Ovis aries: one gene and its partners. The protein of the gene in region 2 interacts with the protein of the main gene of each other region in a pairwise test. Links are inferred from orthologs where the notes say so. Each region holds a gene or a part of one and is shown on either strand. Other genes may lie near its edges.

Region 1 (3,645 bases), on a different chromosome or scaffold from region 2:
TCCTTCGGCAAGCAGGTGGTGGAGAAAGTAGAGGTAGGCCATGCTGCCCACCTGGGCTCTGGCCCCTCACGCGCACACACACACCGCCCCCAGCTTGGGCTTCTCGCCTCTTCCCCTAGATTTGTCTGAATTAGGGCAGTCTCACCCTCACCTCGTCCTTACCACTGACAGCCTGCCTCACGCCCAGCACGAGCCGGGGAGTGGTGGGAGGCCAGGCACCCCCATCCTGGTGGTTCTCACCGGCTGTACATCAGGTCTTGGGGGGCCAACACCCTGGCACTGAGTCCCCCACAGTGTTTAACCCCAGACCTCTCCCACCTGCGGGTGGTGTCTGGGAACCGCCGGGCTGGCGGTGGGCGGCGGCCTCCTAAGCCGCGCGTCCCCGGCCCTGCAGACCGAGTGCGCGCGCTACGAGAACGGCCACTACTCCTACCGCATCCACCGCTCCCCGCTCTGCGAGTACATGGTCAACTTCATCCACAAGCTGAGGCACCTGCCCGAGAAGCACATGATGAACAGTGTGCTGGAGAACTTCACCATCCTGCAGGTGTGGGGGGACAGGCGTGCGTGTGTGCAGATGTGGGAAGGCAGGTGTGTGTGTGGGGGACAGGCGTGCATGTGTGCAGATGTGGGAAGGCAGATGTGTGTGGGGGGGACAGGTGAGTGTGCAGGTGTGGGAAGGCAGGTGTGGGGGGAAGGTGGGTGGTGTGTGCTGGTGTGAAGTCAGGTGTGGGGGGGAGGTGGGTGGAGTGTGCAGGTGTGAAGGCAGGTGTGAGGGGAAGGTGGGTGGTGTGTGCAGGTGTGGGGGAACAGGTGTGTGTGTGGGAGCAGGTGGAAAGGCAGGTGTCTGGGGGGGACAGGTGTGAAGACAAGTGTGGGGAAACAGATGTGTGTGTGTGCAGGTGTGGGAAGGCAGGTGTGTGTGTGTGGGGACAGGTGTGCGATGTGTGTGTGTGTGCAGGTGTGAAGGCAGGTGTGGGGGGAAGGTGGGTGGTATATGCAGGTGTGGGGGGACAGGTGTGTGCGTGTGTGCCAATGTGGGAAGGCACGGGTGTGTGTGGGGGGACAGGTGTGTGGTGTGTGCAGGTGTGGGAAGGCAGGTGTGTGTGTGGGGACAGGTGTGTGGTATGTGCAGGTGTGGGAAGGCAGATGTGTGTGTAGGGACAGGTGTGTGGTGTGTGCAGGTGTGGGGTGACAGGTGTGTGGTGTGTGCAGGTGTGTGGCGACAGGTGTGTGGTGTGTGCAGGTGTGGGGGGACAGGTGTGTGCTGTGTGCAGGTGTGGGAAGGTAGGTGTGTGTGTGTGGGGGGGTGGGTGGTGGGCGGAGCGGACAGCACACTGTCTCCCACACCCCACAGGTGGTCACCAACAGAGACACCCAGGAGACCCTGCTGTGCGTCGCGTACGTCTTCGAGGTGTCAGCGAGCGAGCACGGGGCTCAGCACCACATCTACCGGCTGGTGAAGGAGTAGAGACCAGGGACAGGGAGGGGGTGACATCACGTGTGCAGGGACGAGGGGAGGGGCCCCATGGGGCAGCCCCCGAAGCACCGAGAGTTGAGGTGGTGACTCTTCTACCCAGGAGCAAATTCTGCCTGAACCTGCAATTGCCCAAGCCCAATAAACCCCAGCTCTGTGCGTCTTCAGAGGCCCCGTCTGGCTGCGCGAGCCCCGGGAGGGCTGAGGGAAAAGGGGCCGGATGCCACCCCGGGCGTGGCTGTGAAGCCAGGGCTCCGTGGACTCGGCCAGGACGGTTGCCAGCTGCCGACGCTCAAGATGGCATGTCCCCGAGCTGCCCTGGAGGCCTTGCCCCCGGCTCCGGCCACAGTGGGAGGCCTGGGGACAGGCACGGGTCCCCCACCTGTGTGTCCTGTGCGGGCACCTCGGCCACCGGGAGTGATGTGTCTGCCTCACTTTCCCCACCGCCTCTGCTGCCGCTCCCTCTGAACAGCCGACGGGGAGGCCGGCCCAGCTCGGGGGTGGGTTTCAGGTGTGGAGGTTAGACAGGGGCAATCAGAGCTCTTTAGCTCCAGTGGGCGTGAACTCTCTGGCCCTGCCAGCTGTCTGGGGGGTGGGTTCCAGGTCAGGGGGGGCCCAAGACAGAGAGGGTAGGAGTGCTGGGGCCAGCTTCTGAGTGTGGGTGGGGGCTCTGGGGTTCCTCGGTGTCCTCTTCGGTGGTGAAGGCCAGGAACGTTGGTCTGAGGTCCGCGCTGTTCTGGTGGTCTTTGAGACCATGCAGTTGGTATGCCTTGCCATCTCACAGCAAACGCCTCCCAGCCAAGAAGCCTGCTGGGTGGTGACCACCTCGAGGCAGCCGCGCTGACCACCCCCTCCCCGGACGGAAGGTTCTATGCACCCTGGGGATGGAGGAGAGGGGAGTGGAGCCCACCCTGGGCCTGGGGGGACCCCTCAGCTGAGGGAATTTCCCTGGTCTGTTCCTCCTGGCAACTGGCCTCAGTCCTAGGGCTCCCCGCTGCCTGCCCTGTCTCAGCGTGTGTCCTTTCCTGCCTGTAGAGGGGGACGGCCTTAGTGAGGAGGACATGTCTGTATAGTGCCTGACGCAAGGTGCACTAAAGAGAGAAAAAGTTACCGTCCTCTTACCCCTCCTGGCCCTTGGGATACTGGGAACCGGCTCTTTGCTGCCATCTAGTGGCTGTTTGCTATCATCTTGCCTAATAGGGACCCACACTTCCCGGAGCCTGGAACCCAAGGAGACTAAGAGTCACGTGCAGGAGTTTTGTGTGCTGATCTCAGGGACATGTGTGGGGATATGAAGTGAATAAGATGGTGTTGAGGAGGTGTTGTGTGGTTAGGAGCCAGGGCTCCAGAGTCAGTGGCTAGGATTGGAATCCTGGTGCTCAGCTTTGGACTGTGTGGCCTTGGGGAAGTTACCTAATTTCACTGTGCCTCAGTTTCCCCATCTGTACAATGGGTATAACAATAGTACCTACCTCGTATATGTAGAGTGCCTAGCGTGGTGCCAAGCACACGAGCGCGTGCTGTGAGTATGCATTATTATTAATAGCACTGACTCTTGCAGTCTGAGGAGTCAGCTTGGGAGACTCTTAAGTGGGGGTGGGGTGGTCCTCAGAGCAACTGGAATTCAGAGGTGGGAGGGGGTGGGGCTTGGAAGGTTCAGGGAAGAGGCGGAAATTGAGAGGGGCTGCTTCTTGAAAGAGAGGCATTGCCTAGATGAACAGCCTGAAGGGGCAGTCTGCTGGCAGCTCTGGACAGGGCAGGAGGACCAGCCCTCCAGCTTCCTTCTGGACAGCTGCTAGACCCCGGGCCAAGTCGTATCTCCCTCCTGGGTGCTGGGGCCTGGGTGCGAGGGGTCCCTGAGTCTCTGAGAATTGTCTACCGTCTTTGTGTGGTTTGGGTCTGGGGAGGCTTTCCTGCCCACCCCTGGTCACTGTCATGGCCTTTGCCCTCCCACCTCCCCACCCGTGTTCCCGGAGCTGTCAGGATAAAGGGAGCCCGTGACCTCTGTGCCCGCACAGGACTGAACCTTCGGACAAACACTGGTGTATGAGTAGCCTTGGGCCCTGGGACAGATGCACAAACTGCGTCCATCGTTTTGTGTCCTGGGTCTAGGGAGTCCATGTAGATGTTGGGGCCAGAGCTGGCTTCGAGTGTTCCCTTCTCTTTAG
Region 2 (4,391 bases):
CTTCAAACACTTGTCTGGTAGAAAACATGCAAAAATTGAATATATTGAAAGGTACTGAAACTTTAAATTACATAGTATGATATAAAGCTTAAAGTAAAAGAACTGAGGTTTGGGGTTTTTTTCAGTGACATGGCGAAGTCTTCCGAAGAAGATCATAGAGCTTAATTACACTGAAAGTTTTCATACATGTCAGAAAAACAAGACAACAGAATTTTTAAAATATTTTTATTAATAAACATGTGCTTGATAACTTCAAATTTAGAACACTTAGAACCAGCATGAACAAGGTAAACTTCTTCAATGATAAAGATTTGAAATGGGGGAATAGATACTGAGCTGGTTCATATTAACCTCCCTGTTCTATTCGTATCTTGTTCAGTGAAAACTTGATTTACACAACTCTAAGTGCAGTATTTCTAACAACTCCTTTTGCAGCCTCAGAACACGTCTCAAACTGATCTAGATGTTTAAAGATGAAAAATGAGAAATTTGCACTGTAAAGTTGAATAATATCTAATTCACATTTCTTTCCATTAATATAAATCAGAAACAATTTACAGTAAACACAAAAACTACTCACAATAGTAGTAATAACAACAGTTCACATTTTTACTCAACACTTCTTGTGTGAGCCAGGCCGTGCACTAAAAACTTCTGAACATGCAATTTCACATTCAGTTACCTCTGGGAAGTGTCACGAGTTCCCATGGTTTTCACAACTGATGATGATGACGCCATGACAGCTTGCAGCACTGACAATTTGCACTGTCCAAGTCTCTCCCTGGCATTGTGGCTGACATGACTCATACTGCAGCAGCTCTGGTGCTGGCTTGCAAGCTTTTACCAATGTTAACGTGAATATGCAGGCCTGACTTACCCCAGAAAAACCACGCTAAGTCTTTACCACTAGGTGACATACCTGCAGGACAGCACAGAGACACGAAAAGCAGCTGTGATCTAGGTCTGCACTAAAGTCAGTTTTCTCGGGACTCAGAAGTGCCCCTCCAGGCCTAACTGCAAGAGGGCGGCTTCAGCCGCCTCCTCCTCTTCCTTGGCCTCCTCCTCACGGATCTGCACAAGCAACTGGAAGAGGTTAGGGGCCGGCCCTTCCGCAGCCCCAGTCAGCCATAGCTGCCTTCGGATGGCCCCGCTGTGGTTGGCCCCGGCAATGACTTGTTCCAGGCGGGCTTGGTTCACGTTATCTTTATCTATGGCTCCCTTCTCCACCACTTTCTGCAGCAGAGGCTCCAGACGAATGACATAAGCAGATAATTTTTCTCCCGGGTTCTGGTAAGTGTTCAGAAATCTGACCTGCACATCCCTGGAGCTCTCCACGCTTCCAAACACCTGCTCAAGCGCCTTCAGGCATTCGGCGGTGGTAATATCTGGGTTGTTGGTCTTGAGGATGCGGATGACATCAGCAGCAGGGCCTCGAAGACTCTCCATCAACCGCCGCCTCTTTTCTATATCAGACACCTGCCACTCCTCAATGACCTCATTAGCGTGCTCCAGCCAGGGCTCAAATGTCTCCTCCCCAGGCCCCGGGATGTCCCTCCCCGAGAACAACGTCAGCTTCTTGTACCATATGGATTCTATAAGAGGCTTAATAACATTATCCAAAATATAGTTTAGCATCTCTGCTGGCATATCTGGGCCTGGGGCCGGAGCGGGGTTCTCAAACCCAAGGACACGGGCAACATCTTGCACAGTCCATCCCTCTCGGGCTAGGAAGAGATGCAACCTTTCTAGAAATTCAGCGTCGGAAGTCGGAGGCTTAAAGACTACTTTCCAGACCCCTCCTTTACCCGGCATCTCCCTAGGGATGGCAGCGTAATCCACAGTTCCAGTGAGCTCTAACAAGGCTGCTTTGGCATTCTCTTCCCTCCAGAACATTCTCCCAAGCACTCGATAGTGCACCTGGGGCATCGCAGCCTGGAGGGTCTCTTCGATTTCAGCCTCATCGCAGTTCACCGGGATCCCCCAGACCAGCAGGGCTCTCTGGGAATTCACATCCATCCCTCTGCACCAGTCTTCCAACAGTGTCATCGCCATTTTCCCCAACTATCAAGAGCCCCTGATAGTTGGGTTATCAGGGGGTTAGATAAGTTAAGACTGTGGCTCCCTGTGCTAAAGGACTTAGGACGACAGCGGACACTCCCCTGCAATTTGCCCAAGGGAGTCAAGCTTCAAGCAATCACAATTAACAAACGACACCAGAGTCCAGCTCTCGTCCTTTCACTGCCTCCACCAACGTCCGTCCTCCGCGTCCTCGGAGCGAAACTTGGGGGATGCTCAGTCACGCGCCCAACGCCATCTCGTGTCTCCGGTCGGCGTCCGCGGGCCGGGTCCCGCACTTGCAGGCAGGGTGTCGTGTCTCCGCGCAGAGGCCCGGAGGGAAGGCAGGAGGAGAAGGCAGGAGACGCCGCGCTCTGAAGAGGCCGCCGGGGTGTGATCCCGGGGCGTGGCCGCCAGTTCTCCGCAGCCCAGGAGCCGACCACTCGCTGCTGCCCCTCCTGGCATCAACCCGGCTTCCGCGGTCAGAGCTCGGCCTTCAGGCGCGCGAGGAGCCGCTCCTCTGCAGACTGCGAACTGTGCCGTCCCTGCAGGGGGAGACTGTCCAGAGGTCGCAGCGAGGCCAGCCCAAGAGCGGCTTCTTCGCTGGCGCAGGTACACCTCTCTGGGCGGCGAGGACAGTCGGATACCCTGAGCACCAGCAGCCGAGGCGCGGGAAGGAGGCGGGAGCGAGGCTAGAGGCGGCGCCGGCGAAGGCAGGCCGCAGCGGCTGCGCGTGGGCTGCGGCGAGCTGACCCCGAACGGCGTTGAGGGGCTGCCGGCCTGACCGACCCGCAGCCAGCCCAGGCGTTACTGCCGCAGCGAGGGGCGGGGCCGGCCGACGAGTGGCTTTCGCCCCGCCCCCGCAGCCGAATCCTGCGCGAGCGTAGCCAAGGCAACGGCGGCCTGGAAGACTCCAGACCCTGACGCTCCGGCTGCCTGCGGTTGCCATGGTGCCAGCTAAGGGCCCGCGGAGCGTCCTCTGATGGCGCATGTCCTTTTTCATTTTCCAGATTTTTTTTCCTTTTTAAACAAAGCACTGTGTTTAAAAGTTTAATATAATTCTGGAGTGCATTGAAGATGATATGAGTCTGTCAAGAAAGACTTAACTCACGTCGCTCCTTCAACCAGTCCAGTTCAGTCGCTCAATCATGTCCGACTGTTTGCGACCCCATGGACTGCAGCACGCCAGGTCTCCTGGTCCATCACTAACTCCCAAAGTTTGCTGTTTAAAAACAGATGCAGTACCAGCCGATCGATCGCACTGTGCACCCTCCGCGAACTTCATTCCAATAAGACTAAAACGCTGGAAGTGTGCAGTGTTCTCCTGTCAGACACTGAGTTGAGCCTTTTTCTTCTAAAATTTTGTAAGATCTAGATCTATTAAGTAACCTTTGTAGCCAGGCAAACGCTAGTGTGTTATTTCCCCTGTCCTGGCATCACTGACAAAGGGCTGATAAAACAGAATGCTTATGGCTCAAAAATTTCAAGTAATTCCTTGCAAGCAAACCAAGGCCAATTTACGTCAATCCTAGATGGTGAAAATCTCCCCTAAAGGACACAGCATTCAACTATGAATTTTTAAAACCTTATTTAATAAAAGGTTTAAAGATACAGAAGAACATTCAAAAGTAAATAAGTTACATAGGTACATTACAATCACATCAGCAAGATTTTCTTTAGTGTGTTAATTTTTTTTTTTATAAAAAGCACACAAAAAATAAAATCTTCCGTCTGGTCTATCACAACTGTACAGCAAAAGAGGTAATATTTATATATATGTACACTATTTTAATATGTAACAGTCTTTTTAAAAAAGGGTGCCACAGGCAGCAAACACACAGAAGGCAGTGTCTGATTTTTTTTTCAAAATAAAAGGAATATACTTATTTATATGCTATTAAAATATTTGTACAATAATTACAGACTGTCAAGGCTGTTCCTGTGCTCTGTCCCCTCCAACAAGGCCTTCGACTGAGAGACAAATGAGGAAAAGGTGAAACAGCTGCAAATTGTTAGAGGCAAATATTAACACAGCAAAAATATGGGGAGGACATACAATTGTTTTATAAAAATATGCATACTTCCTGTAAACCTAAGAAGTTAGGCTTGCCAGTCTGGTAATAAATACCATGCAAGAAAAGTGAGCCTCAATAAAAACATTTAAATAGCTGAGGCTTGAATATGTGTTGTATTCCTCCTTCATCTTAACATCTGGCACGTGAGAAGAGGTTAGGTCACTGAGGCAGTTAAATATATGGGATCCCTTTAGACATAAGCAGCACACGACCTCTGTGCCAGGGTGGAAGTGGGCAGCAGAAAGGATGGGTTGTGTACCT
Region 3 (3,645 bases), on a different chromosome or scaffold from region 2:
TCTGTTATTCCCAAGGCTTAACAAAGTTGTGTGAAACATAAAACAATTTTTTAAATCCTCAGTCAAAACTTCCCTGGTGGCTCAGAGGTTAAAGCGTCTGCCTGCAATGTGGGAGACCTGGGTTCGATTCCTGGGTCGGGAAGATCCCCTGGAGAAGGAAGTGGCAACCCACTCCAGTATTCTTGCCTGGAGAATCCCATGGACAGAGAAGCCTAGTAGGTTACAGTCCACGGGGTCGCAAAGAGTCGGACAGGACTGAGCGACTTCACATACACATACATATACACATAATCAAAACTTTCAAACCATATTAAACTATAAATGAGTCAGAGTCAATAGAAAACCCTATCTCCTCAAAATTAAAAGCATTCTCAGGACTTCCCCAATGGTCCAGTGGTTAAGAACTCACCTTGCAATGCAAGGGTTGTGGGTTCAGTCCCTAGTCAGTGAACTAAGATCCCACATACTGCAGAACAACTCAGTCCACTCCACAACTAGAAAGCCCAAGTGCCACAACTAAGACCAAAAAATATATACATATTAGAAAAAAAATTATCTTCAGTAATAATCAGATCAAGGAGAAAATAGAAATAGAAAGAATGATTATTGAGAAATAATGAAAATCAGAACACTAGGTATATTGCCATCAATACATTTAAAACTGTATCTAAAGTGAAATTAGCAACTTAAATCCTTTAATTACTTCTAAAACATAATCAAAAAATTAAACATTCATATAGGGATGAACTCTTGAAGAAAGCAAAAGTCAGAGAATAATAAAAATAGCAGCAGAAATAAACTTGAAACAGCTCTACAAAAAGTCCAATAAGATAGTGAAACCCTGGAAAGCTACTTTAGAGAAACAGAAAACAAAAGAATAAAATTGAAAATGAGAAAAGCCAGATAAGAATGACCAGGAAGACAATGTTTAAATCATAAAAGATTATATCCAACTGAATATTACTTGAAAACTTTAATAAAGGAGAGATCACTTGGGAAGCTATTTTCCATGACTCAATAAGAAGTAGAAAACCTGCACAGATGAATAAGCAAAAAAGAAAAACCTAGAAGTTATAGAATTATGGGCAAAGAGTTGAAGACCTGTGTGGTTGGTGGATGAGTTCTTTCAAGTCCCCAAACAATTCACAACCCCTGCATCACATGAATGAGGCTGGAACACTGAAAAAATTAAACGATGCTTGATTATCAAGCTTATAAATTGTCATAACTCTGATATCAAATCCCTGAAAAGACAACTCACAGAAAGAAAACTGCAGCCCAGATTCACATAGGAATTAGAGAAAACAGAGTCCAGAGATCCTGAGCGAAGCCCCAGCCAAACAGATCCCACAGCAAACAGCTCAGGCCCAGAACCAGGAGTCTCTCAATGACACAGTGGAACAAGACCCCACAGGCCAGTGGGGGTGCAGCTGAGGGCACTTTGGCCAGAAAAGAAGTGAGGTCATAAAATCTTAACAAAATGAGCCCTTCTTCAATTTTGTTGTCATTGTTGTTCTTAAAAAATAAGGACTAGAAGGCTTTTCCCCAGCACCCAGCCTACACCCCCCACCCCCAATACCTGGACAGACAGGGCTGTCCACTGCCGACCACCCTCCAGAAGGATGAGCGGGGAGGCTGTCAAGGCCAAAAGTCCTGGGATTCCTGAGGAAGAAAGACAGAAACGAGCGTATGAGCTGCCGTTGTTGTTCAGTTGCTAAGACGTGTCCAACTCTTTGTGACCCCATGGGCTGTAGCCCGCCAGGCTCCTCTGTCTGTGAGAATTCTCCAGGCAAGAATATTGGAGTGGGTTGCCATTCCCTTCTCCAGGGGATCATTCTGAACCAGGGATTGAGCCCTGTCTCTTGCTTGGCAGGTGGATTCTTTACCACTGAGCCAGCAGGGAAGCCCATCTGAGAGGCCAACCCCATTTAAAAGTCTGTAAACAGCAGCTACAGAACTGAGAAAACGGGAGAAAGAACTGGAAAACTCAGCAGAACAAAATAGCTCAGGGAGGGACTGGATAGTGAATTCCCTGGTGGTCTAGTGGTTCAGGCTCCACGCTCTCACTGCCCAGGGCCTGGGTTTAACCCCTGGTCGGAGAACTAAGAACCAGCATGCCTGGTGGCCAAAAGTAAAAATAAAAATATAAAGTAAGCAAAATATGATAAGGGGCCTGGATATAGGCTAAATATTTACAAATCAACAGATTTCCAAAACACAGTAACACAGATAACTGAAAACACAGTGGAAAAAGAAATCCCATCCATGATTGCAATTAGTAACATAAAGTGCCCCAGGAATAAACCAATTAATGTGAAAGATTTATGCGAGAAATGGCTAAAGAGACTTGAAGAAACAGTCAGAGCAGCTTAATAGAGGTGCAGGGGACTATCTCACCCTCTGGGCAAATGTAAGAAAAAGAGATGTGAAAATAATTACCCTGCCTTCTGAGCCAGTGATTCTACCTTTAGGGAAACATACCCTAAGGCAATAACTCTGAATAGAAAATGCTTTTGCTGTGGTATTTACTTCAGGGTGGGCTTCCCTGGTGGCTCAGACGTTAAAGCATCTGCCTGCAATGTGGGAGACCTGGGTTCGATCCCTGGGTTGGGAAGATCCCCTGGAGAAGGAAATGGCAACCCACTCCAGTATTCTTGCCTGGTGAATCCCATGGACAGAGGAGCCTGGTGGGCTAGAGTCCACGGGGTCGCAGAGGCGGACACAACTGAGCGACTTCACTTCACTTCACTTACTTCAGAGCTGGAGAAGGAAATGACAACCCACTCCATTATTCTTGCCTGGAGAATTCCATGGACAGAGGAGCCTTATGGGTTATGGTCCATGGGGTTACAAGAGTCAGAAGCAACTGAGCAACTAACACTTACTTCAGGGTAAGAGAAAAGAACTGTCATTTCAAACATAAGGAGAGTTCATTAAATTCCGGTTCATCTGATTCTGGACTATTACACAGCTATTTAGAATGTATTTATGACAATACAGAAGCAGCTGTCTCGTGATGGTAAAGGGAAGAGGCAGAGAGAACACTCAGAAACTACTTAACATCACTGGACACTCCATGCAGGACAAGGCGTCCAGGCAACTGTGGAGGCTCTGAGACGCCAGGGGCTCAGGCACGAGGGTGATCTGGAGGAAACTGGCCTGGGAGGGGAAGGCCTGGGATGGCCAAGGCCCCCACCCCACCCTGTCCCTCAGAACATGTGCACCATATGCAAAGCGGCCCCCTCCCATGGGTGACACCAGCTGTGGGAAAGGTGCAGCAGGAGAGGCCACAGCCCTTTGGAGAGGGTCCCAGTGTCCATGTCAACACTTGAGCTGCACGTGGCCTTTGACCCAAGGATTCCTGGACAGCCCCCGTGAGCAGGGGTACCTGTGAAGCCCCCATGGCTGCTGGGAGATGGAGGAGCACTCCTGTCATGGGGACCAGACTTAAGGGCTGGTGGTGAACCAACAGGGAACAGTGAGCAAGCCCTCCAGGAGATGGCCAATGGTCAAGGACGGAAGATGGACGGCTGGGGAGTCAGTGTAGAATGGCTCCACCCTGTCCACGTAAACTGAGGATCCTGGGATACACATGCAAACAGCCACCAAAACTTCAGAGAGAAGCCAGAGTCGACGTGGACAGCG

The links.
Region 1: the proteins of PNMA1 (region 2) and TEAD4 interact in binary tests that used the Homo sapiens proteins (3 or more experiments, as listed by UniProt). The two-hybrid records come from large-scale screens. The link is inferred for Ovis aries from reciprocal best matches to the Homo sapiens genes PNMA1 and TEAD4.
Region 3: the proteins of PNMA1 (region 2) and SPATC1L interact in binary tests that used the Homo sapiens proteins (3 or more experiments, as listed by UniProt). The two-hybrid records come from large-scale screens. The link is inferred for Ovis aries from reciprocal best matches to the Homo sapiens genes PNMA1 and SPATC1L.

What each region holds. Positions count from the first base shown.
Region 1 is NC_056056.1:212,613,743-212,617,387, reverse strand, and holds part of TEAD4 (transcriptional enhancer factor TEF-3), read left to right. Parts: coding exon 1-33; intron 34-394; coding exon 395-547; intron 548-1,357; coding exon 1,358-1,471; 3' UTR 1,472-3,645. UniProt on the Homo sapiens protein: Transcription factor which plays a key role in the Hippo signaling pathway, a pathway involved in organ size control and tumor suppression by restricting proliferation and promoting apoptosis.
Region 2 is NC_056060.1:83,213,345-83,217,735, forward strand, and holds PNMA1 (paraneoplastic antigen Ma1), read right to left. Parts: upstream 2,868-4,391; 5' UTR 2,053-2,867; coding exon 991-2,052; 3' UTR 209-990; downstream 1-208.
Region 3 is NC_056054.1:266,614,694-266,618,338, forward strand, and holds part of SPATC1L (speriolin-like protein), read right to left. Parts: 5' UTR 1,929-3,645; coding exon 1,580-1,928; intron 1-1,579.